7 linked regions of the Callithrix jacchus genome follow. The protein of the gene in region 3 purifies or fractionates together with the protein of the main gene of each other region. This does not show direct contact. Links are inferred from orthologs where the notes say so. Each region holds a gene or a part of one and is shown on either strand. Other genes may lie near its edges.

Region 1 (3,500 bases), on a different chromosome or scaffold from region 3:
TACACTGAAAATCCTAAAGTTTACTTTGTTTTAACATGAAAGTTTTCAGGCTACAACCAATATATTCTAAAACTTGGACAAAATCCTAAAAATAAGCATCATGCTACACCTGTATCAGCCTGGAGAACCAACATCAAACACTGGCACAGAGCTGTGTGCCCCAGATGGGAGAGGGGCTGTTCTCTCTGTGGGACCAAGAAGGCTTCTGCAGGTACAAACTAACTGTCCAGCGAAACAGACTGAATGAGCTGGGAGCAGCTAGGCAGACCCTTGAGTTCAATAAGCTCATTTTAATGATGGAAAAACCAGGGTTTAGAAGGAACTTGCGTAAGGTCCCACATCTTCATTTTCTCACACTCACCTTTTCTCTATAAGTTTTGGTCTGACTCTCTTGTACCAGTTCACTCTCAACTGATTCATCTATCAAAACAGACAGAAAGAAAAGTCAAGTGGAAGGCTTACAAATAGTAATAGGGTTTAATATTCATTTGTCTATCTAAGAATAATAGATTTTTTTACTATAGGACTTCCCTGAGCCTAACATGAGTGCATACTGTGAATATTTAATACGTAGCTTTAGTATACAATTAAAGAACTTGAAGAATAAATGAGAGAGTCAAATGAAGGGGTCATCCAGCCCAACTTCTTCATTTTAGAAATGACTCGCCCCAGGGCAGTTCACCAGGTGGTGGCAAACAGGATTGGAAAACAAGTCCTTGGCTCTTCTGAAGAAATAATTTTGCTTTCTTAGTGAAAGACCTAAAAGCAGGCATGAACATGAGGTATGTGGTATTTATACGATGCTCTCTAATCATCTACAAATTACTCAAATAAGGGGCAGTAGAACCTAGCAGACAACAGCACAAGCTCTCGAGTGACCTTGCCTGTTATCTCAGACATCACCCATGACAAGGTCATCTAACTTCTGTGCCACTTTCATCACTGGTTAAAAAGAAAAACAACAGTACTTACTCCAGAAGGTTGCTGTGTACATCAAAAGTGCTTAGAACAGTGACTAGCACATAATAAGGACTTAAGATAAATGTTATCTGTGTGTGTGTACTAGCTAGAATAAACTCCTACTTACAAATTTCTTACATACAAGAGCAAAAATCTGTTTAATTAACATGTTAAAATTACAATTTTCCTTGCCTCCTTGGATTTTATAAGAACAATTGGAGAATGACTTAAATATAGTTATATATGTTTGCAAAGCAGAGGGACCCCTACGAAATTCACAGACAGGTGTCAGGACTCAAGAGCCCTTTAAAATTATGTGTAAAATTTGGCCAGGCACAGTGGTTCACACCTGTAATCCCAGCACTTCGGGAGGCTGAGGTGGGTGAATCACTTGAGGCCAGGAGTTGAAGACCAGCCTGGCCAACGTGGTGAAACCCCATTTCTACTAAAAGTACAAAAATTAGCCGGGCATGGTAGTGCACACCTATAACCCCTGCTACTCAGGAGGCTGAGGCAGGAGAATCGCTTGAATCTGGGAGGCAGAGGCTTCTGTGAACCCAGATGGTGCCACTGCATTCCAGCCTGGGTGACAAAGTAAGACTTGGGTCTCAAAAAAAAATAAAAATTAGGTGTAAAATTCCATATTTTTTTAAAATCCCATATATATATTTGTGTGTTATATACGTTTCTCAGAAGTAGGTCCAGGTCCTCATCAGATTCTCAAAAGGGGTAGAAGCACTGCTTTGAGAGAATAAAGCTGGAAGTAATGCCTCTGAGGTATCAGGCAGATTCACCATGATCCCAGCGATTCTTATCTACTACGCTATCCTGCCATGGTTCTCAATATTCAAGAGCATCACTAAGGATTCAAGTTCTGAGATTTAAGGAACAGAAGCCCCTTAAGTATGACCCTCTTATTTATTATTTTGGAAGGTCTCACTCTAGCCCTGAGCATTCTAACATGACAAAGCAGAGAAGCAATGTAAATTCTTCCACTAGATTAGGGAAAAAAATACATCTTCCCCAAATTAGTGAGGAGACTTGTCCTCAACATGAAAGTTACTATACAACCTAATAAGCAATTTTTTGTCTACCAGAGATTCTAAAACCTCTTTATCCTAATTATAACGGTTAAGAATTAAGAAAGGTCTTTGATGGAAAAGATTTTATATCAGACATGTCCTTTAATATTCTGCTCTGATCATTGCACAGCTTGCTTTTATGAACCTCCCACCTCAAGTCTCTAAACACCATGGGGACAGGATGTCTTGCTTACTGCCATATCCACAGCCTCATGCCTGATGCAGGAGATCATCAATAAGTGCATGCTGAATACAAACCTCTAGGCCAGGCTCAGTGGCTCATGCCTGTTATCCCAGCACTTTGGGAGGCTGAGGCAGGTGGATCACCTGAGGTCAAGAGTTTGAGACTAGCCTGGCCAACATGGTGAAACCCCGTCTCTACTAAAAATATAAAAATTAGGCAAGTGTGGTGGCATGCGCCTGTAGTCCCAGCTACTTGGGAGGCTGAGGCAGGAGAATTACTTCAACTTGGGAGGTGGAGGTTGCAGTGAGCCGAGATCACACCACTGTACTCCAGCCTGGGCGACAGAGTGGGACTCCATCTCAAAAAAAAAAAAAAAAAACACACACACAATATATATATATAACCATTTTCTCAACACAGACAAAGCAGAGAAAAAAAGAATAAAATAAATAAATGAAAATAACTACAAAATGTGTTTATAAATCTAAAACTCAGGCCAATTAATCCAGCAAACCCAAACTATGCATTGTTTCTGTCAGCTTTCATGGCTGGGACCTACCTGAAAACAGTGGCTGCATGTTAAACAATTCAGCATCATATACTTCCATTTGGCCAGAGGTCTTGTTCAAAATTCCCACAAAGTGCCTGAATAAAGAAGGAATAATAGAAGTAACAATGGATTATTCAAAAATATTATTTGTACAGCTTCCTTTTTCCTTTTTGAGATGGAGTTTCCCTCTTGTTGCCCAAGCTGGAGTGTAATGGCACGATCCTGGTGCCCAGCAACCTCTGCCACTGGGTTCAAGTGATTCTCCTGCCCCAGCCTCCTGAGTAGCTGGGATTACAGGCATGCACCACCAGGCCCAGCTAATTTTGTGTTTTTAGTAGAGATGGGGTTTCTCCATGTTGGTCAGGCTGGTCTCGAGACCTCAGGAGATCCACGTGCCTCAGACTCCCAAAGTGCTGGGATTACTGGCATGAGCCACCACAGCTGGCCTTTTTTTTTTTTTTTTTTCAGACAGAGTCTTGCTCTGTCTCCCAGGCTGGAGTGCAGTGGCACGATCTCAGCTCACTGCAACCTCCACCTCCCAGAGCAATTCTACTGTCTCAGCCTCCCAAGTAGTACAGGCGCATCCCACCATGCCTGGCTAATTTTTGTATTTTTAGTAGAGATAGGGTTTTACCATGTCAGCCAGGCTGGTCTCGAACTCCTGACCTCAGGTCAGGAGTGCTGGGATTACAGGTGTGAGCCACTGCGCCTAGCCCTTTTCCTG
Region 2 (4,062 bases), on a different chromosome or scaffold from region 3:
CCATAAATTCTGACTCACAAGAGGAATTCACTCCAAAGAAAGTAGGCAAAATTACATTTTGTAAGTACATAAAAATATGATAAAACTTTTTTTTCCCCTTGGCTTTATAAATAGTAGTCATTTACTTTACTGTGTTTTACAGAACATTTTCAAATATGTTATTATTACAGTCCTAGATAAGTTGTGACATTATTTTCTGTGCAGGGCCAAATTTTCTTCATCTACTTCAACCAAAACAATGTATCACAAGGAGCTGAATGCAGAAGCAGACATGAGAATCCAGCTGTCTTTTCATTAAGCCAGACATTAAAAAGATTTTTAATAATGCAATTCATCTAATTTCTTTTTTGCTCTGAAAAATGATTTTCATAAAAATGTTAACATACAATTGGTTTATTTTTATTTCTGTTTATTTATTTATTTTTGAGACAGAGCCTTGCTCTGTCGCCCAGGCTGGAGTGCAGTGGTGCAATCTTAGCTTACTGCAACCTCCACTTCCAGGGTTCAAGCGGTTCTCGTGCCTCGGCCTCCCAAGTAGCTGGGAATACAGACATGTGCCACCATGCCCGGCTAATTTTTGTATTTTTAGTAGAGACAGGGTTTCACTGTGTTGACCAGGCTGGTCTGGAACTCTTGATTGACCTCAAGTGATCCGCCTGCCTCAGCCTCACAAAGTGCTGGGATTACAGGCAAAAGCCACCACACCCAATCAATTGGTTTATTGATTGATTGATTGATTGATTTTTGAGATGGAGTTTCACTTTTGCTACCCAGGCTGGAGTGCAATGGCGCGATCTAGGCTCACCGCAACCTCCGCCTCCTGGGTTCAGGCAATTCTCCTGCCTCAGCCTCCTGAGTAGCTGGGATTACAGGCATGTGCCACCATGCTCAGCTAATTTTTTGTATCTTTAGTAGAGACGGGGTTTCACCATTTTGACCAGGATGGTCTCGATCTCTTGACCTCGTGATCAACCTGCCTCGGCCTCCCAAAGTGCTGGGATTACAGGCGTGAGCCACTGCGCCCGGCCCGAATTAGTGCTTTTCTAAAATTTCTCAATTTGATTATCTTTTTTTTAAAGACAAGGTCTCGCTCTGTTACCCCAGCTGGAGTGCAGTGGCACAATCATAGCTCATTGCAGCCTTGAATTCCTGGGCTCAAGTTAGCCTCCCACCTCAGCCTCCTAAGTAACTGGGACCACATGTGCCCACCACCATGCCCTGCTATCTTTTAACTTTTACAGAGGACGAGGTTTCACTATGTTACCCAAGCTGGTCTTGAAATCCTGGCTCAAGCCATCGTTCTGCCTCGGCCTCCGAAAGTCCTGGGATTACAGGTGTGAGCCACTGTACCTGGTCTAATTAACTTTTAATTAGGTATTTTTTCTCACAGACATGATACTCTAAGAATCCAGGCACAATACATACAAATATCCCCACCACTCTTGTCTTCCCAAAAAATAAATTTTAATGCCTCCCGTATTATTTGCGGAATAGAGTTCAAGTATCAGACTGGCAATCAAAGCTCTTCACATTATCTCTACCCGTATCTCTCACAACACAAATCTTACACAACAAAACCACAGGTAGGGTCCCCTAAGCATGTGACTCTGCTCTACTCTTCCCCTGGACGGAATGCATGTTTCTCACCTCTTGAACTCATCTAATCCTGCCTTTTCTCAAACTCCTGGACTAGTTGCGCTGCCTATATGCTCCCACAGTAGCCCATAAAATCCCTTGACAGAGCAGTGCTCGCGTATTGGCATGGACTACTTTCCTATCTTCACTCCTTTAACCCCAAAACACGACAGGGACCACTTAAATGTATGAACTGTCTCTTACACGGGACTGCGGCCTTCACATCCTCAGAGCCTAGTGCCTAGAGACACTGGGGATACTTACTAAACGAAACTTTCCCCCACCATCCTCACCTCAATTCTGCTACCATTACCCTACGCTAGTAATGCTATTACACTTTTCGATTCAATCTTGCCTTTACGACTCATTTATACCTTCTTTAGCACCTACTTAATTCAGAACAAATGAGTAGTTTCTCTCTTTAAAGCTCTAAGAAAAGGAAACTGAAGGATAACCTTGTACATTACACTGTACCTACAAATACGTTCAGAATATTTTGAGGTACGTTTTGGAGAGGTGTCTTCAAGTGATACAAAGGCATGTGCATTGTGAATGGTTGGGAAGCACACCCCCAATAAGCCATTTCCTCACTCTCACAGAACCCAGAAACTATCCAACAAGAAACTATGGTTCGCAATCACTTTTCAATCCAGAAATCACGAATACATCTCTTAGACGACTCGAATACACGTTCCACGAGGCCCAGCTCTGCGTCTTGTTCAACACGTGTGCTCTCCCGCTTACCCTCTGAGCCTGTCAGGATCAAGGAGCAAACGCATTTTGGGTCACACTGTGGCCTCTGAGCCATTTCTCTGGGACCCTGTCACCGCCCGCGCCCCACAAGGCCCAGACCTCACCCCCGCCCCTCCCTCCTCCAGCTCCGCCTGGCCCCTCTCGCCCGCCAGCCTCGAGCTTGGTCTCTCCGCGGCAAGGGCGCCAGTGGATGCCGCACTCACCTGCACCGCGAGGCCGAGACCCTCGTGCACAGCATAGTTGAAGGACTCCACATGAGCCCGCGTCAGCTCCTGCAACGCTGCCTTTTGCTGTTCCCGCGGGATTCCATAAGACGGGTCGGTCAAGTGCTTTAGGCTAGGCCCATTGGGAAGGTTTCGCCACCGGCTGCAGGGATCCATGCGGCTACTTGCACACCTAACACCCGTCGCTCAGTACGCGCCGGAAGTAGTGGCCGGAGTCCCGCTTCCGCAGCCTGCTGGGAAATGTAGTTCCCTCTTGTTCCGCCCGCCCTAGGCCCTACGGTTTTTATGGGGTCGACGTAGAACCAAAACCGTCGAGTGAACGGGCCGGTTAAAGCTGTATCCAGCCAGAGCGTGGCGGGTCCGCCCCTTCTCCCATCTTCCGCTCCACGCATCTCCCTCCTCTGCTAAAGAAGGCGAAACCCACTCCTCACCCAGTTGAGCGTGTGACCTCTTTGGCTCTCATTGGCTCAGTCAATTAGGATTGGAGGTAAGCGGTCTTCTCAGGTTCCCATCTATCCGGTCCCTTAACCTGTTCCAAGTCCCACGCTGATGCCGACCCTGGGGAGTCATCCGGACAAAGTCGTTGTTTCAATGAAAAATCGGATGCCGGGCCCCGGGCTCTTTACCCAACTCCTAAATCGCGAGGCTCACCCCTGGAAGGCCAAGGTCGGGCCCGCTAACCTCCCCGCATCGTCTGGACTGGAGTCCTGGGGGAGGCCCGGGGAAGGAGGTGGGGTAGGGGTCGGGCGGTCTCAGATGGAGAGGCTGTGGTAGGGGGGCGTCCAACATTTAGTACAATGTTGAAGGGACAAGAATAAATATACTTGTTTTGTGCCTGATGTTGGAAGAAAGCTCCCAACTGGAGCATTCACATCACCATTAATATGATGTAGGCTGTGGGTTTTTCCAAAGATGCTCTTTATCAAGTTGAGAAAGTAATTTATTTCTAGTTTGTTGAGAGGTTTTCTTCCCAAGAGTGTTATTGCCAAATGCTTTTTCAGTGTATATTGAAATGATCATGTGCTTTTTGCTCCTTTTTTCTACTAAAGTGGTATATTAAGTAAATTTTGTAAGTTAAACAAGCTTTGCATTCTTTTTTCCCCTTCTCAACGTTTATTTTAGAATCAGGGGTACCTGTGCAAGTTTGTTACAAATGTATATTGCGTGATGCTGAGGTCTGGGACACGGTTGAACCTGTCACCCAAGTTCCAATAGGTAGTTTTGTATCCAATAAGTAGTTTTAAACCTTTGCTCCCCTGCTTCTCTCACTGCTCTAGTAGTCCCCAGTGTCTGCTGTTCCATCTTTATGTCCATGTGTACCCAATGTTTAGCTTCCACTTTTTAATTTAATTTTTTTTTGAGACAGGGTCTTGCTCTGCCACCCAGGCTGGAGAGTAGTGGTATGAACTTGGCTCACTGCAACCTCCTTTTCTCAAGTTCAAGTGATTCT
Region 3 (3,500 bases):
TCATAGAAGTATAGTTAGGCTAAAAAGCTTCCTTAATTTTGAGTACAAAAATGTGTTCATTTCAGTCATTTCTTTTTAAAGGATAATGAACTTGTTAGTGTGTTATAAATACACAATGCAAGGCCAGGTGCAGTGGCTCACGCCTGTAATCCCAACACTTTGGGAGGCCGAGGCAGGTGGATCACCTAAGTGCAGAAGTTTGAGACCAGCCTGGGCAACATGGTGAAATTCTGTCTCTACTAAAAATACAAAAATGAGCCGCACATGCTAGCACACAACTGTAATCCCAGCTACTCAGAAGGCTGAGGCAAGAGAATCACTTGAACCTGGGAGGTGGAGGTTACAATAAACTGAGAGCGTGCCATCACTCTATAGCCTAGGACACAGGGCAAGACTCTGTTTCAAACTAAATAAATATAAAAGATAAAAAAAATACAGAATGCATAGACAAATGACACAATTCAGCTTTATTTTTACTTAATTATAACAATTTTTAAAAACTCCATGACTTTGTGCTATTTCTAATATTTAAATACAAAACATTTCAAATTTTGCACAAATAATTTTGGCTAATGCATTACTATATTTGAATAAAGTCAGATGAAGCAATGATTCCTCCTCTGTGTTTGAAAGGAATGACTGTGGTTACAAAGTCACAGAATGAGTCTCTGGGATCTGGGGTGGGAGAAGGGGTGGATTAAAATGCTTTGGGTTTGTCACTCCCGAGCAGGCTGAGGGTGTGGCATAGCAGCTCGGTGGCGGAGAAGTCTATTCTAGTTTCTAACACCCCAAAGCTAACTTTTCAGATGTATTTCTTTCTAGTATGTAGAAAGGGCTTTCCTTGGCTGCCAGGAAGTGGGGAGCAGGGATGTGGCATGGTGATGATCTAGGGACAGCCAGGCATATGCTCAGACACTTTGGAAAACTGGGGAGGGGGAACAGGGAGACAGAATCTTCATCTTCTTCCTTTTGTGGACTGGGGAGGAGGGTGCTTGGAGACAATTTCCTGAGTGTAAAGAAGGAATACAGGTTTGAAAGGTTTGTAATTATATGTTAAAGAAGGTACTGAAAACCAATACTGGGGGGTGGGGGAGAAGATGCTGTAAACACTTCTATTTAAAATGAAGATTTCTGGAACAACTATACTAATAGTGGTATCGTAAGTCTTTAGCTGGTAAGATCTAGCACTGAAATAACTATTTTTTTAACTTGTGAGGGATATTTTTAAAGCACCACTTAAAACCTATGTTTTAAAAAAATTAAATATAGAAAAATTGTTCTAATAAATGAGTTTGAGAATGCACAGAAAACAACAGAACCCATTTTTTAACCTCTGGTAACTGAAGTGGAGCATGAAATTCAAAGCCACTTTGAGGATGTCCTACATTGTTCACCTAAAGAGAAACAAATGCAGAGCTATCAAAGAGTTTCTTGATAAATTCCCAGACCTTGGAGGGCTACAGCTTTTCAAAAATATGGTCCCTGGACTGATGATTTCTAAATTTTAAATTTGATAACCCCAAAAAGTAACATATACGATTTATAAGTGGTTTTTTTTTTTTTGAGAAATGACCAAAAAATTGGAACTAGTTTTAAGAATCTCTGAAAACTTTAAATTCTACACATATTTTGAAACACACTTCCAAACAAGATAGACTAACAATAATACATGTCTACTACACTGCAGAAGTAGCTGAAGCTTGCCAAGACATCCTCCTTTGTCCTTGTTTCCTGGAAGAGTTGCTAGGTCATTTTTTGCCGGTGGCCAGCAGCCTCTTTAAGAACAACAAAGGATCTACTGTAAAAGTCGCTCTCAGATGTTTGCCCTGCCAGCTAACGCTTTCTCTGCACACCGCACCCGAAGGAGCACGGAGCCCGCAGGGCTGGCTGGCCCTGGCTCTGGCCTCACCGCCGGCTGGGCCGCCTTTCGTACTTGTCCTGGCTGCTCCGCTTCCGTGGTGGGGAGTAACTGACGGAACCTCGGGAACGGAAGCTGTGCTTGTAAGGATGGCTTCTGTGTTTCTTCGGGTTTTCTTCTTTCTGGGCCTGGCTCTTCGCTGGTTCCTTATCGTCCTCTTTTTGTTCATGGTCTTGCTCTTTATGAGAGGGCAATGTGTTTTTAATTGTGTTAATTAGAAATCTTTTATTGGTACCAGCAAGAGGACACTTCATCCTGGGGTTGCGGGGAGAAAAGAAAAACCATCACAAATCAAATGGTTAACTCCAAAGCTGGACCCACTATCGTGATTAGTACCAAAGAATCCTGCTCCCACAGAACCGAGTTTATGAATTTGTTAGCTTTCCTTGCATGCCACCTAGTGTAAACTCTGAGTACCAGGGGAAAAAAAAATCAAGACGATTGAATTCTTGAGACAAGACTGCCCAGGCCCTGTCTGAACACTTTTAAAATCTTTCTTCCTTCCTGAGACTAAATTTCCCGGCTGAAGTTCATATGTACCAGTACTGACCACACTGTGAATTAACAGAATCACTTAATATTTTCTTTCAACTAGTAGGTGCCCGATTTGACTATAATCTGTTTTGGATTAAATTTATTCTGCGTTGTGTTTTATTACCAGATAGTGAAAACTGTTCCTTTTCAAGGAGCCAAAAAAGTATATTCTGCTGTATCTTAAATACAGGAGCTAAATGATCTGCTCTAGAAAAAAAAAATTGTGTAAAGAATAAAAAATATGCACTAATCTTTTACTTAAAAAAATTCTTCCATTTCTATTTCAGGATGCCAGGCTATGCTCTGTGGAGGGGAGCTTTACTCACTCTCCTGCTCTGGTGAATTTCAGTACAGGATATATTTAAGTAGCTTCATGATTCAAGTTCACCTAGGAGAGGCTGCAACCAATCAAATTGCTAATTTACACGCTTAGAGATCTAATAAGAGCTTCATACTATTTATTTTCTTTTTCAGGTGTTAATCTTTCATTTTCAAAAAGATGACCCTACACCAATGAGAACTTGTATTTCTCTTGGCCTTGAAGTATCTGCCTAAAGTATGGGCTACTTTAGGAGTATCCCCAGAATCATGTTATTCAGGGTGGCTGGTATTAAACAAAATGCAGTAGAACAGCCACCTTTCAATAAATTGTGATTTACAGAGAACCCCACACAATGCTTCCGAATCAAGCCAACAACACTCCACCGTGGGAACTGTGTGGACTAGTACTGCACAGGGGAAGCACAGGCAGTCACTCATCACTTAGAGTTCAGACCACCTCAGAAAGCCAAAATGGCACGGAATCTGGAAGTAAAAGGGAGAAAAAAAAGAAAAGGCCTCCTGCTGCAAGTAGGTAGCTCTTGAGCCTTTAAAGGACAGAGAAAATATTTGAGAAGAATCAATGTTTACTTTCAGTGTGCTGTGCCTGTTTAATGGTCAAGCCAGAAGAGTGACAAAGGAATGAACTAGAACAAAGAGGAAACTAAACTGAGAGAAGGACAGTGGAGTGCAACAGAAACAGTGGCGACAGAAACAGTGGCGACAGAAA
Region 4 (4,007 bases), on a different chromosome or scaffold from region 3:
CATTCCTAAGATGGAATCATCCTATCACTAAGAAAATGTTAGGGACACAGAAAACAGAGTTAGAGAATAGGAAGAAAAAGTAACTGCCATATTAGAGAGAAAAACAAAAATTAAGACTTTATTTCCCCTAATCAAATCTCTCAACTATCAGAGAGTGATTCTCAAGTGGAAGGAGGACTGTGGTCCCCTGTGGGGCACGGAAGAGTGGGCCATTTGGAAATTTGTGATACTATTCATGGTTATCACAAACCTTGTCGAATCCAGGAAAGAAAAGAGTCTGCCATGTACAGGACCATCCTGTACAATGAGGAAATATTAATAGCTCTGACTTTTGAATAAAGGGACAAATCTGTTTACAAATAGCTAGGCACATAATTTGACTCTTAAAAGTCGTAAACACAAAGTCATTTTTGCATAGTTTTAATATATATTAAAATTATCAGGAATTCAGCAATATATAAATTCAGGGGAGATTTTATTAAAAGTCATCAGATATGTGAACACAGGCACCCAACACTATAAACTTTTTCCTCCTTCACTTTTGTTTTTCTAAATGGGTATCAGGGCAAGGTGGTAGCCTCATTTTAGTTCTTTGGTAATATATATTCAATGTTTTGTCCCTTATTAGCAAAGCATAGTTCAAAGTGTGGTGCCTGATTTGCACCTGAATAAATAGGAGTCTTCAGCATACTCAAGTAATGTGGAAGGAATGGTATCCAGATCTGTTCAGAGCCACTCTGGGTGACTTTCCCCTAGCCTGTCAAGTGCAGGCAATACTGATGACAGAAAACAAAATAGTTGCTTGTGTTTCCAGATGTTATGACCACTTTGTATAATCTTAAATCTAAAAACCATCCCCTCTAACCATTTTCTCTTAGACAATTATAATATTATCTTAATTCATCTCCTTGTCCACATTCTCATCCTATTTGGTAGCTAACCATTAAGGCTACCAAGTGCTGTTTCTTAAAGTGCAAATCTGATATGCCAGGACTACAAACATGTGCTACTTTCTCAAAAGTGTGTGAGGTCTCAGAGTTAAAGGGTATTGAGAGGATGAAGCACTAACCCTGCCTAAGAAAACAGAAACACAAAAGGAAAAACAACCATACTTTTCACCCCTAAAACCAAAAACTGGCAATGGCAGGAAGGGAAAAGCAAAATAGCCATACTCTGAGTCATTTTTGACCCCCTGCCCTTCTCTCCAGTGACTTCCAATGCCTTTCCCCTGACATACACCTTATTCTGCTTATATAATAGATACAGCTCCCTAGGCATAGCATACCAGTTCACATCCAGTATCCGTTTGTTTATGCCACTCTCTTTGTCTGGAATACTATCATGTGAAAGTACCCTTTTCTGTCAAGTTGTTCTCAAAGGTCCCAAGATCCAAATTCAACACTCCTTACCTTATTAGATTTCTGTCAAATTTTAACACTTCACTATTTATTGGCTTGAATCTGTATCTCTACTACAGCTTATATAGCTCCTTGAAACAGGGATTTAATTTTTTGTTTGTTTTTATATCTCAAATTCTCAGTATATAATATAAACATACAAGAACTGTGTGTTGGTGCTTGGCAGAAGCTGTATATTCTAGACATGCTTGACTATCAGCCTGTGTGTGTTGGTCCAGGATCCCTTAAGAAAATGGTAAAAGCTTTGGATACCAGCACCCAAGGAACTTCACATGGGAATTCCTGAAGGGCAATCATGAATTCCTAGGAAATCCATTCACTCTAGTTTTAGAACCCTCTCTTTTGAACCAAAGTATAGTCCAGAGGAATACTAAAGCACATGCCTGCACCCCCTCCACACACATACTTCTGTAATTCTGAGTTTTCAAGTTGCTTTTGAATACTGTAATATAAATGAATACGTTTTGGGTTTTTCTCACCCAAAAGCAACAGGTTTACTAGTTCGATTGCATAAATCGTCTTAACAACAACAACAACAACACTAAACTAATGGCATTTTCATCATCCCCAGATCAGATCCAAAAGAAGAGAACCTGGGGAAATTACCAGAGCAAAATCCAACAAAAACGTGCTTCACGTTTTACAAATAGAACAGTTGTATTAATGCTTCATGTGCAATCTTCTATGGAATGAGAATCTACTTAAGCACTGCAAACCAAATTTTTATTGTCAAATGAGAAAACATCATCCGGAAGGGGATAAATGAAACGTTGAATGCCATACAGAACCGGGCCTACTAGGTCTCCAGACCCCTGCTCTGTTCCTAACCCTACCATCAGGGATCTGGAGCGAGAATCTCCACTTCCTCCGCCCACACCTGAACTTCACCTTTAAGTTTTCTTCTCTATCTGAAAGGGACCCTGTATAGATCTTTACCAGAGCGGTACTGGCCTTGAGGGACGGATCAAGACTCTAAAATTCCACGGGTATAAGCTCTGGGGGGCAGTGCGACCTTTACCATTTCTCCCTTTTTTGCTACGTCATCAGCACATCCACCTGCTGGTACTTCCCGTGCACAAAAGAAGGAACAGGCAAAGAGATCAGTACCTCTCAGAATAGCGCAGGAGCTCCGCATCCAGCTGCTCTCGAATGCCAGTGCGTTTCCTATTAAGGTAGCGGGGCGACAGAGCGATGTGCCTTCGGTGCGGCCCGGCCACCAGGCATGAGTAGCGATTGTTCACCAGCTCACAAGCAGTGGCATAAGTCGGCAACTCTAGGCAAGGTAGGACGCCAGCCTGCCCTACCAGAGACCCATCAGAAGCCGCCTTTTGCCGCGGCGCCTCTGAACAACCCGCAGCCATGTTGCTTGTCAAGGTTCCCGCGGCGCGCACCGTTGACGCAAGCGCAATCGCCTGTCCCCGACGCTCTTTTTACGTCATCCACCAACTACCACGCCCCTAGGAATTTGCCCTCTTGACGCTGCATTACGCAGTCTGGCCAGCAGGGGGAAACAGGTTTTTCGCTCTTTGAAGAGGAGTTTAAGAGCCCCAAGTACATATTGAGCATGCGCGAAGCCAAACAACTGCTTTTTTGAGGGCGGGCAAATGTGTGTTTTTCCCACTGAAACTTACTGGGTTTATTTACTAGGTAGCTTAAAAAGGGGGGTTCTCAGTTTGATAATTTCCAGTGGTAAGGTGGTTTGGTACAATTTTACAAACTTGTACTGTACAATAAAGATTCAAAATATTTATGGAGTATATTTTATGCAGTACACGAAATCCTAAGCAACAGCTCAGATAATTAAAATGCAACATGTCTGAAAACGGGCCCACTATTTCTCTCCTGTTCCGCTTCTCTCCTCATTATGCAATTGCTAAATTAGGGAATCACGTCACAGCCAAGGTGTCAGCCTCGGATCCTCTTTTGTATCCCCAAATATCACATCAGCCTGAAGGCCTGTATTGCCTTATGTATAAATATTGTATTTGGACACTATCCTCTTCTCCTGCTGCCAAAACTTCAGGACACTCTGCCTGTGGAAGCCTAGCTTAATGGTCGGGAGGACACTCTGCGGCAGCCAGAGCTTCCCTGAAACATGTGATCATGTTGTGTCCCTCCAGGATAACATAAACTCCTGAAAATGGTTTATAAGTTACAAGGCCATTTTGTGATCAGCCCACAGCTTCTCTCTTCAGCTTCATTTGTCACAAGATCTAGACCAGCTGCAAGACTCCCCGCCCTAATGTTATCATGCTCCTTAATCCACTCTCAGGTCTCTTTCTTTAGTCTTAAGCTGTTGCTTCTATCAGGGAATATAACATTTTTCACAAGGGTAACTTCTACTCATCTATGAATTTTTAGCTTAGATTTTACATTCTGTTCCTTCTCAAAGAGTTTTCAACCACCCTATTCCTTTTTCTCTATAAGGAGTAAGTAACCATCTATGTTCGTTTTTACGTTAATTTTATATTAACAGCCCATTTGCTTGCCTGTTCCATCAATAGATTCCTACAGTCACTAAAGCGGGTACCATAATCTGTATTGTTCACTGCAGTGGCCCACATGTCTCATCCCTCCTCCAAAGAAACA
Region 5 (4,144 bases), on a different chromosome or scaffold from region 3:
TACCTGACAAAAACAAGCCTTCAGACTCAAAGTAGCCAAATGGTGCAAACTTGGGCCTCCAAACCTCAAATTTCAGGACTGCATAAGAATTCACTCTTCCCACAGTTTCAGACTCTACACTCCCACAACACAGTACAAAACGGAGTAGTATGCAAACATTAAGACTGAGGTCACACCACGACGTTCTAACTTCTGAAAAGTAAAGGTATTCTGGCCGGGCATGGTGGCTCACACCTATAATCCTAGAATTTGGGATGCCAAGGCAAGCAGATCGCCTGACGTCAGGAGTTCAAGATCAGCCTGGCCAGCATGGTGAAACCCCATCTCTACTAAAAGTGCAGAATTTAGCAGGGCGTGGTGGCAGATGCCTCAGGAGGATGAAGTAGCTGAGCTACTCGGGAAGCTGAGACGTAAGAAATGCTTGAACCTGGGAGATGGAGGTTGCAGTGAGCCAAGATCACACCACTGCTCTCCAGCCTGGACAACAGAGCAAGACTCCATCTCAAAAAAAGAAAAAAAGACAGTTCACAGCTGTAATCCCAGCACTTTGGGATGCCAAGGCAAGATCGCCTGAGGCTGGGAGTTCAAGATCATCCTGGCCAACATGGTGAAACCCTGTCTTTATTAAAAATACAAAAAATAGCCGGTGGTGGCGCACGCCTGTACTCCCAGCTACTTGGAAAGCTGAGGCAGGAGAATCACTTGAACCACGGAGATGGAAGTTGCAGTGAGCCGAGATCACGCCACTGTACTCCAGCCTGGGCAACAAGAGCAAAACGGTGTCTCAAAAAAAAAAAAAAAAAAAACAAAAGTAAAGGTATTCTAAAAAGCAAATCTGTATTATTAAGGAAAAGTAATAAGTTATAATACAGTGCATCATCTGCTTACTGAACAGCTACTATGTCATAGGTTTCCTTTTAGTTGTTCAGAATAGAACATGGAAAGGAACAGAGAAAAACCCTGCCCGCCTAGACCTTAGGTCCTACTATTAATAAACAAAGCACACAATACATTACATAATATATTAGGAGGTAATAAGCCCTATGGAAACAATTAAAAAGGGAAGGAGGGGCCGGGCGCGGTGGCTCACGCCTGTAATCCCAGCACTTTGGGAGGCCGAGGCGGGTGGATCACGAGGTCAAGAGATCGAGACCATCCTGGTCAACACGGTGAAACCCCGTCTCTATTAAAAATACAAAAAAATTAGCTGGGCACGGTGGCGCGTGCCTGTAATCCCAGCTACTCAGGAGGCTGAGGCAGGAGAATTGCCTGAACCCAGGAGGCGGAGGTTGCGGTGAGCCGAGATCGCGCCATTGCACTCCAGCCTGGGTAACAAGAGCGAAACTCCGTCTCAAAAAAAAAAAAAAAAAAAAAAAAAAGGGAAGGAGGATAACTGAGAAGGAAGGGCTGCAACTTAAAATACAGTCAACGTTGAAGACAAGACCAGACCAGTGAGTAAGCCGGCTCTAGGGGAAGAGTGAACCAAGCAACCTTAAGTGCCAGTCCTCCAGGAGGCTGGTGTTGATGGGGCAAAGGGCAACAGGAGGAGCGCCGGGCAGCGGCTCAGTGTCGGAACCTGGTAGGTCCTGGAGGACTCCGGCTTTTCCCCTGCGTGAGCTGGGAAAGGTCGAAAGTTTCTGCGCACAACACGGACCTGTGTGACTCGGCCCTTACGGAATCGCCGTGGCCGCTGCTGCGAACGCAGTAAGGGGCGCAAGCGTGAGAGCAGGAACCCAGGGAGGCGGGAAACGGCGGCCTAGCCGGGTGTACAGGAAAGCAGAGCCCACGGGATCCGCTGCCGACTGGAAGGGGGCGCGAGAAAGAGCGGACAGCCGGGCGCAATGGCTGACTCCCGTAATCCCAACACCTTAGGAGGTAGAGGCGGGCGGATCACGAGGTCAGGAGTTTGAGATCAGCCTGGCCAACACGGTGAAACCCCGTCTCTACTAAAAATACAAAAAAAAAAAAAAAAAAAAAAAATTAGCCAGGCCGGGCGCGGTGGCTCAAGCCTGTAATCCCAGCACTTTGGGAGTCCGAGGCGTGTGGATCACGAGGTCAAGAGATCGAGACCATCCTGGTCAACATGGTGAAACCCCGTCTCTACTAAAAATACAAAAAATTAGCTGGGCATGGTGGCGCGTGCCTGTAATCCCAGCTACTCAGGAAGCTGAGGCAGGAGAATTGCCTGAACCCAGGAGGCAGAGGTTGCGGTGAGCCGAGGTCACGCCACTGCACTCCAGCCTGGGTAACAAGAGCGAAACTCCGTCTCAAAAAAAAAAAAAAAAAAAAAAAAAAAAAAAAAAATTAGCCGGGCGTGGTTGCGGGCGCCTGTAATCCCAGCTACTCGGCAGGCTGAAGCAGGAGAATCGCTTGAACCTTGGAGGAGGAGGTTGCGGTGAGCCGAGACCGCGCCATTGCATTCCAGCCTGGGCAACAGAGCGAGAGGATGTCTCACTTTAAAAAAAAAAAAAAAAAAAAAAAAAAAACGAGAGAAGGAAAGGGCAGAGGCACAGACACGCCGGGGCTGGCGGCGAAGGCGCTGCAGTCGGAGGAAGCGGAAGTCCTGCGAGAGACGCCCGCCTTCGAGTCCCACCTTGCGGGTGATGTTGTGCACGTAGGGGCACGTATTGCAGGCGAAGCGGTGGCAGCGCTGTCCCTCCTCCACGATCAGCCCGTTCCCGCAGCCGGGGCAGAACAGCAGCATCGTCTCCGACTCCACAGGGCCCGGCTCCCAGCAGCTCCCGCCGTCCCTCAGCGCCGACACACCGCCCGCCTCGAGCTCACGTCGGTGCCGGCAGCCGCCCCGCCCCGCCCAGCCAACCAATAGACAGGGCGATTCTGCGCGCCCAGCAGGCTATCTCGTACTTGTCATTGGTCACTGCAACTGCCCCTCCCCTCGATGCACCAATGGCTGGGCGGCCTCGCTGGGGCGGGCCCCCGTTCCTGCGCCTGCGTACTTGGCCTCCGTAGTGCGGCTTGGCAGTGCGGGCGGGGCCCTACTGAGACGCGCAGTCCTGGAGCAGGTCGAGGCCGCGAGTCGGCCCGAGGCGCAAGAGGACGATGAGGACGAAGAGGAGACGCTGCCTCACTCCGAGGCCGTGGACGTGTTCCAGGAGGGTCTGGCCATGGTGGTGCAGGACCCGCTGCTCTGCGATCTGCCGATCCAGGTGTGTGCGGGCGGAGGCTGGGGGGCTGGGGTCGTTCCCCCGGGGGCCGGGAGCCGGGGCGTTCGGGTACGTGCAGCCTCTGAAGGTGCTGATGGGAGAAGGCGCCTCTGGGTGTAAACGAGGGTCTTAACCTGGGTAGGGCGCACTCGCCTGGGGCGCGAAATTTAAAGAGGCACCAGAAACCTCACTAGTGAGTGACAATAAATGACCTTTTAATGTAATTGTATTTAGAGGGGGTCTGGGGGACAGGGTCATGCTCTGTCACCCAAGCTGGAGTGCAGTGGCGCGATCTCGGCTTACTGTAGCCTGGACCTCCTGAGCTCAAGCCATCCTCCCACCTCAGCCTCCCGAGTAATTGGGACCACAGGTGCGGGACACCACGCCCAGCTAATTTTTAAATTTTTTGTAGAGAGGGGGGGGTCTCACTATGTTGCCCAGGCTGGTATCGAACTCCTGGGCTCTGGCGATCCTCCTGCCTCTGCCTCCCAAAGTGCTGGGATTATAGGTGTGAGCCACCCGCCCAGTCTGTAATAGTTTTAAAAGTAAAAGTTGATGAAAAAAAAAAAAAAGCCTACAGTAAAGAAAAAAATCTAGTTTTAAACAAGAGCAAGATTCGTAGCACTGATTGTTCCATTTGCCTCAAGCACCAACATGCTTTGGCACGATACTTTGTTTGAGTGGGTTTTTTTTTTTGAGACAGAGCCAGGCTGGAGTGCAGTAGCACGATCTAACATGCTGCCCAGAATGGTTTCAGTCTCGTGCTCTGCCCACCTCGGCCTCCCAAAGTGCTGAGGTGACAGGCATGAGCCACCGCGCCCGGCCAATTCTAAATGTTTGATATTTTGCTCATGGATTTTTTAATTGGCCTTGTGCTTCTTAAATGTTGTGTTAAAATATTTATAGTTAATACCGTTTTTTGCTACCCTGGTAAATTTCCCACACCTGCTTTACCCCAGTCCCAGTCCCAGGCCCTGGCC
Region 6 (3,500 bases), on a different chromosome or scaffold from region 3:
GCCAGAAGCACCCACCCCACAGTCGTCACAAACAAAAACGTCTCCACACATTGCCCAGTGTCTCTGGGAGACGAGGCAAAAGTGTCCCCACTTGAGAACCTCCGGCCTAGGCAGCTCCCTCTTGGAGGAGAATTCCCAGCACCCTTGAGGGTGGGGTTGAGAGAAGGGAGGTGGGCGCTCCCCAGGACTGCAGGCAGTGGCTTGTCTCTCTTGCAGCAGGGGACTCTTCACAGGATGAGGCGGAAGACGATGTTAAGCAGATCACGGTGAGCCCTGGCCCCTGGGGGAGGTGGGTGCTACCTGGGTGGCAGCAGGACCAGTTTAGTAACTCAGCAGCCCCGAGACCAAGGGGTAGCGGGTCCTCGAGGGAAACAGGTGGAACAAACAGGGTCCATGCTTTTGAGCCTTCTTGCTGGGTGCCTTAATGGAACATCCTGAGTTTCCCAGCTGCACATAAGACAGAGCCCTGGCTGGATGCAGGAGATGGGTCCCTGAGGCTCGGCTGGAATCACCTGGGAGCAGGAAGCTGGGGCCAGGAGCTCCGAGGACCCACAGGCCAGCTCTGCCATGAAACCTGTATCTTTTTTTCTTTTTTTTTTTTTTTTTTTTTTTGAGACGGAGTTTCCCTGTTGTTACCCAGACTGGAGTGCAATGGCACTATCTCGGCTCACCACAACCTCCGCCTCCTGGGTTCAAGCAATTCTCCTGCCTCAGCCTCCCGAGTAGCTGGGATTACAGGCGCGCACCACCATGCCCAGCTAATTTTTGTATTTTTGTAGAGACAGGGTATCACCTTGTTGACCAGGATGGTGTCGATCTCTTGACCTCATGATCCACCCGCCTCAGCCTCCCAAAGTGCTGGGATTATAGGCGTGAGCCACCGCACCTGGCCTGAAACCTGTATCTTAACGAGCCAAAGTCAATTAACTGTAATTCTATCCTCTTTATGCAGCACAGATGAATAGTTTTTGTTTTAATAGTTATTCCTGAATTTTAAGGATTTTTCAAAGAACCTTAACGTTCCATTTATGGTTTGTAAAGTTTTCCCTATTTAAGCATATTTAGATTAAAATGAGTAGTACCAAAAAAAAAATGCTACACATGGAATGATCATATACAAGCCTGGCTAAAGAGCGGTGAGTGTTCGGATGTCCTTGAGGACTGGGGAACACTGGTGTAACTGACACGGCGGTGGCTCAGAGAGCTCACCCTCTTCTCTCAGTAGCTTCGTAGGACTTTAGAAACTCCTTTCGGCTCTGGGGGACATGCAGCCCTTTTTAGAAAAGGCGTCCTTGGGCCTGCATGCTGTAAGGACTCTGCCAGCTCTCGTGCCTGGGACTTTGTAATCCCCCTCAAACCTGTGGGCTGGGCAGGCGCGACCAAGTATAAGCCACTCCCCAACGTGTGCAGACAGCTCTGGGAGGGACGCAGTTGGAACGGAATTTAAACGACCTGTGCCAGGAAAGGAAGGGGGGCGGGGAAAACCTCGATACAGAGTTCTCTGGTCTCCTGGCAGAGGCCGAGATGGCAGCCCAGGAAGGGTCACAGGCCTGAGGGCATGAGTTCTTCCCCTTGCCACCCTAGGTGCGGTTCTCCCGGCCCGAGTCAGAGCAGGCCCGCCAGCGCCGCGTGCAGTCCTATGAGTTCCTGCAGAAGAAGCATGCGGAAGAGGCCTGGGTACACCTGCATTACTATGGCCTGAAGGTGAGCGAGGGTGAGCGGGCCTCATGGAGCCCTGGGGGGGACACCCCGTGCCCAGAGGGGCAGGATGTGGCCTCCATGTCTCACCTTGAACTTAAGTCACATTCATGAGTCCTAGCCACAAAGAGATGATTTAGTCCTGTGGGCAGTTTCCACTTCATTCCAGCCAAGCCATTTAGCGTGGACCCCAGGGGAGCAAGAGAAAAAGATTCGAATCCGAGGTTCCCTGGGTGGGGTTTGGCCCCAGGTGTGGGCCTCTTGCTGGGCTGGCAGCGGGACTGGTGTCTGGTTACATATTTTTCCTGTGCCCAGGTCCTGAACGCAGGCCAGACATGTTCTCTGGTGCTGCCCTAGAAAGTTGGTCATCTGTTGTCTGCCCCAAAGCTCCTGGCACGCCTGCCCAGGAGGATTTTTTACTATATTCAATTTTCATCTGGTGCACTGACTTTATTGTTTTGTTTTGTTTTGAGACAGTCTCGTTCTGACACCCTGGCTGGGGTTTAGTGGCTCAATCTCCGCTCACTGCATTCTCTGCATCCTGGGTTCAAGCAGTTCTCCTGCCTCAGCCTCCCAGGTAGCTAGGACTACAGGCACCGCCACTACACCAGCTAATTTTTTTATTTTTTATTTTTAGTAGAGATGGGGTTTCACCATGTTGGCCATTCTGGTCTTGAACTCCTGACTTCAAGTGATCTGCCTGCCTCAGGCTCCCAAAATGCTGGGATTACAGGCATGAGCCATGGCCACCTGGCCCTGGTGCATTGACTTTAGAACCTAACCCTTGAAACTATGTATCAAGTGAGGGAAGCTTCCAAAGATACCATGGACCAGGCTCCCAGTGTTTTCTGGGGTGGGGAACCTCTGGAACCTTCCTGGAAGAGATTTGTGTTGACAGACCCTTAAGACTCAGGGTCAAACCTTGGAACATTGCAGTTTCCTGCTTTATGACCTTGGGCATGTTACCTGACCTCTCTGAGCTTAAGTTTTCTAATTTATAAGATGAGAGTAGTAATCATAGTACCTACCTTGCCGAGTTATTTTGAGAATGGGATGAGTTAGTGTATTTACACCCAGTGGAACAGAGTCCAGCACATCCTAGGTGCTCAGTGAACGGTAGCCATCATTTTGTCATTGCCAGTGATGTACCTGTGTTACAGACAGGGCACCAAGGCTTGGGGTTGGGGCTGGGCATGTCATAAGGCCAGGAAGATGGGTGGCTGAGGCCACATCAGAGGCCTTGGGTGCCATGCTTAGGAGGTTGGACGTGGTCGTATGACTGCCCATGGAGTGGAAGGCAGGGGAGACCTTGGGAAGGGGGCCCAGACCAGGGCCATCGGCTGAGGCTCTTTCACACCCTCCTCTCCTCCAACAGGACAGCCGCTCTGAGCACGAGCGCCAGTACCTGCTATGCCCAGGCTCGAGTGGGGTGGAGAACACAGAGCTTGTCAAGTCACCCAGGTGGGAAGGGCTAGGCCAGCATGTAAGCTGGATGCCAGCCCAGGGGCCCCGGGGTTGGGGTGTTCCCTTCGGTGTGGATCCTCCTCTAGCAGCAGGGTGGAGCCCATTGTCCCCTGGAGGAGACCAAGGGGGTGGGCCGGGAAAGAGATGTTTCCCTTTTCTGCAGGGGCTTGGGGCTTCTGGGGGAGGGCAGTGGTGGGCTGTCTGAGGAGGGTCCAGCCTGGGTCGGCCCTGAGCCTCTGCCCCTGCCCTATCCCTGCAGTGAGTACCTGTTGATGCTGATGCCGCCCAGCCAGGAGGAGGAGAAGTGAGTAGAAGCGGAGGGATGCTCTCTCCCTTTT
Region 7 (2,619 bases), on a different chromosome or scaffold from region 3:
CTGTCCACTTCCACTTACCCTCCCTCCCGGGTCACCACTGGAATGTAGAGCAGAGAGCCAGCTCCTCCACCTGCCTCCGGAAGCACCAAGTCCTCTCCTCCGACTCTTCAGAGTCATCCCCCATGCCTGTAGCTAAAAGCCTCTACCCAAATCTTCCACAAAAATAATGAAATAATGAGACTATGCAAGTGACTCATTCAAGTCAATGTGAACTGACTCTCTAAGAGACTGAAAGTGTTGGAAGGACACGAGCAGGGCTCCTTGCCAATTCAAACTTCTGTGCCAAATGGGTGGTATCTTCTGGGCCTGGGGTGCCCTCAGGAGCCAAAAGCACAACACTCCCTCTCCCAGACAGAAAACCACACTGGAGGATAAACGTTGGGAACAGTCAGCCAGGAGACTGGGATAACCCTGAACCCAGATACCAAAAGGCTGGAATAGATCCTACAATGGCAAGTGATCAGCTGGCTGCGGGCCAGAAACAGTACACCACAGACAAATTGGAAAAAATGATTTTACAGTAAACGAACTTTTTACAAAAAGGGGAGGGGCAGTCTGAAAAAGTAACATTTGATTAAAAATCATATACACAAAGCTTCCTATTGATTTTAAGCTCTCCCACTGTGTCTTTCACAGGCGAGTGAGTTTCTAACTGAGTGCAGGCCAGTTAAAGATGCAGCCACAGTGGACAGGGAACCAGCCCCTCCTCAACAGGTAATCAAGAGCAGCTGCAACTCAAGCTAGAACGATGTCCAGGACCTGAGTGACGTGGCAGCAAGGCTGGCTTCAGGCGAGGTTCAGAAGGCTAGCTTCTTCATCAGCAGATAAACTCTGGAATCCACCTCAAATCCATGCAGGTTGTTGGCATCCCCCTGCAGCCTCATGAGCAGGCCCCCATAGGACACGTAGGCAGAGCTGAAACAGAAGGCCGCATGCCATGAGTCTGGAGCAGCTACTACTCAGCAGCTCTCCATCTCAGCCTAACAAAGAGAATAACATCTTTCTACTGTTTTGTCACTAGGAACCAAAATTCTGACAAAGATGAATGTACAGATATGTGTAAGGCACTGTTCTTTTTTTCTTTGGGACAGAGTTTCTCTCTTGTTGATCAGGCTGGAGTGCAGTGGTGTGATCTTGGCTCACCGCAACCTCTGCCTCCCGGTTTCAAGCAGTTCTCCTGCCTCAGCCTCCCAAGTAGCTGGGATTACAGGTGTACACCACCACACCTGGCTAATTTTATATTTTTAATAGAGATGGGGTTTCTCCAGGTTGGTCAGGCTGCTCTCAAACTCTCAACCTCAGGTGATCCACTCACCTCAGCCTCCTAGAGTGCTGGGATTAGAGACATCAGCCACTGCGCCCAGCCAGCATTGTTCTTTCTATTAGCAAAGTCGAAAAACACCTATATGCTCCAAATCAGGGGAATGGGATCCACTTACTGAAATGTTATCTAACTATTAAAATGTTTAAGAAAGCTTTACACTAACATGGGGAAACATTTTCTTTTTCTTTTTCTTTTTTTTTGAGACGGAGTCTCTCTCTGTCTCCTGGGCTGGGGTGCAATGGCACAAGATCTCAGCTCACTGCAACCTCCGCCTCCTGGGTTCAAGCAACTCTCCTGGCTCAGCCTCCCAAGTACCTGGATTATAGGTACCTGCCACCATGCCCAGCTAATTTTTTGTAATTTTTTTAGTAGAGACGGGGTTTCACTATGTTGGCCAGGCTGGTCTCAAACTCCTGACCTGGTGATCCACCCACCTCGGCCTCACAAAATGTTGGGATTACAGGTGTGAGCCACCACGCCCGGCCAAAACATGTTTTACATAATGTTAAGCAAAAAGCAGAAAAAAGGTAATTAACACCGCAGTCTCAAAGGAAAAATATAGATGTTAAGAACACTAGGATATTAACAAAAAATTAAAAATAAATTTAAAAAAAGAACACTAGGATATGCAAAAAAGTCTATGTAAAAGGTTCTCTCTGGGTATGGAATGACAGGGTTTTTTTTCTTCTTCACATTCTCTTCCGCATTTCAAATTACTTACAAACAGCACATATTGTTTTAATAAGATTTTAAGGAAAAGACACACACACACACACACACACACAGCCTAATAGTATAATCACTTAATGCTGCATTTGGTTCCTCCATACTTTAACAGGGAGATGACCAGTTTCTCTTCTGGACCACTAGGCCAGGAGGGCCTGACAAAGGGCAGTCTACAATTCAGACTGGAAACTGCTCTAATAACCATTTCTTTCTAGTTCCCACCTATGTCTGAGGTGCCTAAGGAGAAGGACCCAACAGAGGAAGCAGAAGCATAACTCAAAGTCTCAGAACAGGGAGGGGGAAAACAATCCTCACAAGATCATGTAACTTACAGGCGTGTTGCCGCTTCAGTAGAAGTTTCGTCTCCCTCAATCCTGTATACTTTCCCATACATTACATACTCAAATTGGTCAGCCCTATGGAGCAAGAGTAGCAAAGTTATTCTTAACAGTAATTAACAATATAAAAGATGCCATTTAAAAATGGTAACTGGTAACTCGATGCCAGCATTTTAACAACAGGCACATTATAAACATGACGCCATTTAGTCCTCACAGCAATTCTGTGAG

The links.
Region 1: the proteins of protein POLR1D (region 3) and POLR1E purify together in Homo sapiens (affinity purification with mass spectrometry; 3 studies listed by BioGRID and IntAct, with this or other methods). This does not show direct contact. The link is inferred for Callithrix jacchus from reciprocal best matches to the Homo sapiens genes POLR1D and POLR1E.
Region 2: the proteins of protein POLR1D (region 3) and POLR1B purify together in Homo sapiens (affinity purification with mass spectrometry; 5 studies listed by BioGRID and IntAct, with this or other methods). This does not show direct contact. The link is inferred for Callithrix jacchus from reciprocal best matches to the Homo sapiens genes POLR1D and POLR1B.
Region 4: the proteins of protein POLR1D (region 3) and POLR1F purify together in Homo sapiens (affinity purification with mass spectrometry; 3 studies listed by BioGRID and IntAct, counting the BioPlex papers as one, with this or other methods). This does not show direct contact. The link is inferred for Callithrix jacchus from reciprocal best matches to the Homo sapiens genes POLR1D and POLR1F.
Region 5: the proteins of protein POLR1D (region 3) and POLR3K purify together in Homo sapiens (affinity purification with mass spectrometry; 3 studies listed by BioGRID and IntAct, with this or other methods). This does not show direct contact. The link is inferred for Callithrix jacchus from reciprocal best matches to the Homo sapiens genes POLR1D and POLR3K.
Region 6: the proteins of protein POLR1D (region 3) and POLR3E purify together in Homo sapiens (affinity purification with mass spectrometry; 3 studies listed by BioGRID and IntAct, with this or other methods). This does not show direct contact. The link is inferred for Callithrix jacchus from reciprocal best matches to the Homo sapiens genes POLR1D and POLR3E.
Region 7: the proteins of protein POLR1D (region 3) and POLR2H purify together in Homo sapiens (affinity purification with mass spectrometry; 4 studies listed by BioGRID and IntAct, with this or other methods). This does not show direct contact. The link is inferred for Callithrix jacchus from reciprocal best matches to the Homo sapiens genes POLR1D and POLR2H.

What each region holds. Positions count from the first base shown.
Region 1 is NC_133502.1:144,462,817-144,466,316, reverse strand, and holds part of POLR1E (DNA-directed RNA polymerase I subunit RPA49), read right to left. Parts: intron 2,872-3,500; coding exon 2,786-2,871; intron 421-2,785; coding exon 362-420; intron 1-361. UniProt on the Homo sapiens protein: Component of RNA polymerase I (Pol I), a DNA-dependent RNA polymerase which synthesizes ribosomal RNA precursors using the four ribonucleoside triphosphates as substrates.
Region 2 is NC_133515.1:22,055,078-22,059,139, forward strand, and holds the start of POLR1B (DNA-directed RNA polymerase I subunit RPA2), read right to left. Parts: upstream 2,801-4,062; 5' UTR 2,769-2,800; coding exon 2,592-2,768; intron 1-2,591. UniProt on the Homo sapiens protein: Catalytic core component of RNA polymerase I (Pol I), a DNA-dependent RNA polymerase which synthesizes ribosomal RNA precursors using the four ribonucleoside triphosphates as substrates.
Region 3 is NC_133506.1:146,860,106-146,863,605, reverse strand, and holds the end of protein POLR1D, read right to left. Parts: exon of another isoform or gene 2,927-3,500; intron 2,174-2,926; coding exon 1,906-2,173; 3' UTR 447-1,905; downstream 1-446.
Region 4 is NC_133512.1:38,561,546-38,565,552, reverse strand, and holds the start of POLR1F (DNA-directed RNA polymerase I subunit RPA43), read right to left. Parts: upstream 2,801-4,007; 5' UTR 2,780-2,800; coding exon 2,526-2,779; intron 1-2,525. UniProt on the Homo sapiens protein: Component of RNA polymerase I (Pol I), a DNA-dependent RNA polymerase which synthesizes ribosomal RNA precursors using the four ribonucleoside triphosphates as substrates.
Region 5 is NC_133513.1:2,334,473-2,338,616, forward strand, and holds the start of POLR3K (DNA-directed RNA polymerase III subunit RPC10), read right to left. Parts: upstream 2,801-4,144; 5' UTR 2,705-2,800; coding exon 2,594-2,704; intron 4-2,593; coding exon 1-3. Other genes in the region: SNRNP25 (U11/U12 small nuclear ribonucleoprotein 25 kDa protein), read left to right, coding at 3,126-3,167. UniProt on the Homo sapiens protein: Core component of RNA polymerase III (Pol III) which synthesizes small non-coding RNAs using the four ribonucleoside triphosphates as substrates. Can mediate Pol I proofreading of the nascent RNA transcript.
Region 6 is NC_133513.1:22,906,796-22,910,295, forward strand, and holds part of POLR3E (DNA-directed RNA polymerase III subunit RPC5), read left to right. Parts: intron 1-216; coding exon 217-266; intron 267-1,584; coding exon 1,585-1,704; intron 1,705-3,073; coding exon 3,074-3,159; intron 3,160-3,421; coding exon 3,422-3,466; intron 3,467-3,500. UniProt on the Homo sapiens protein: DNA-dependent RNA polymerase catalyzes the transcription of DNA into RNA using the four ribonucleoside triphosphates as substrates.
Region 7 is NC_133516.1:13,344,881-13,347,499, reverse strand, and holds the end of POLR2H (DNA-directed RNA polymerases I, II, and III subunit RPABC3), read right to left. Parts: intron 2,467-2,619; coding exon 2,383-2,466; intron 916-2,382; coding exon 798-915; 3' UTR 501-797; downstream 1-500. UniProt on the Homo sapiens protein: DNA-dependent RNA polymerase catalyzes the transcription of DNA into RNA using the four ribonucleoside triphosphates as substrates.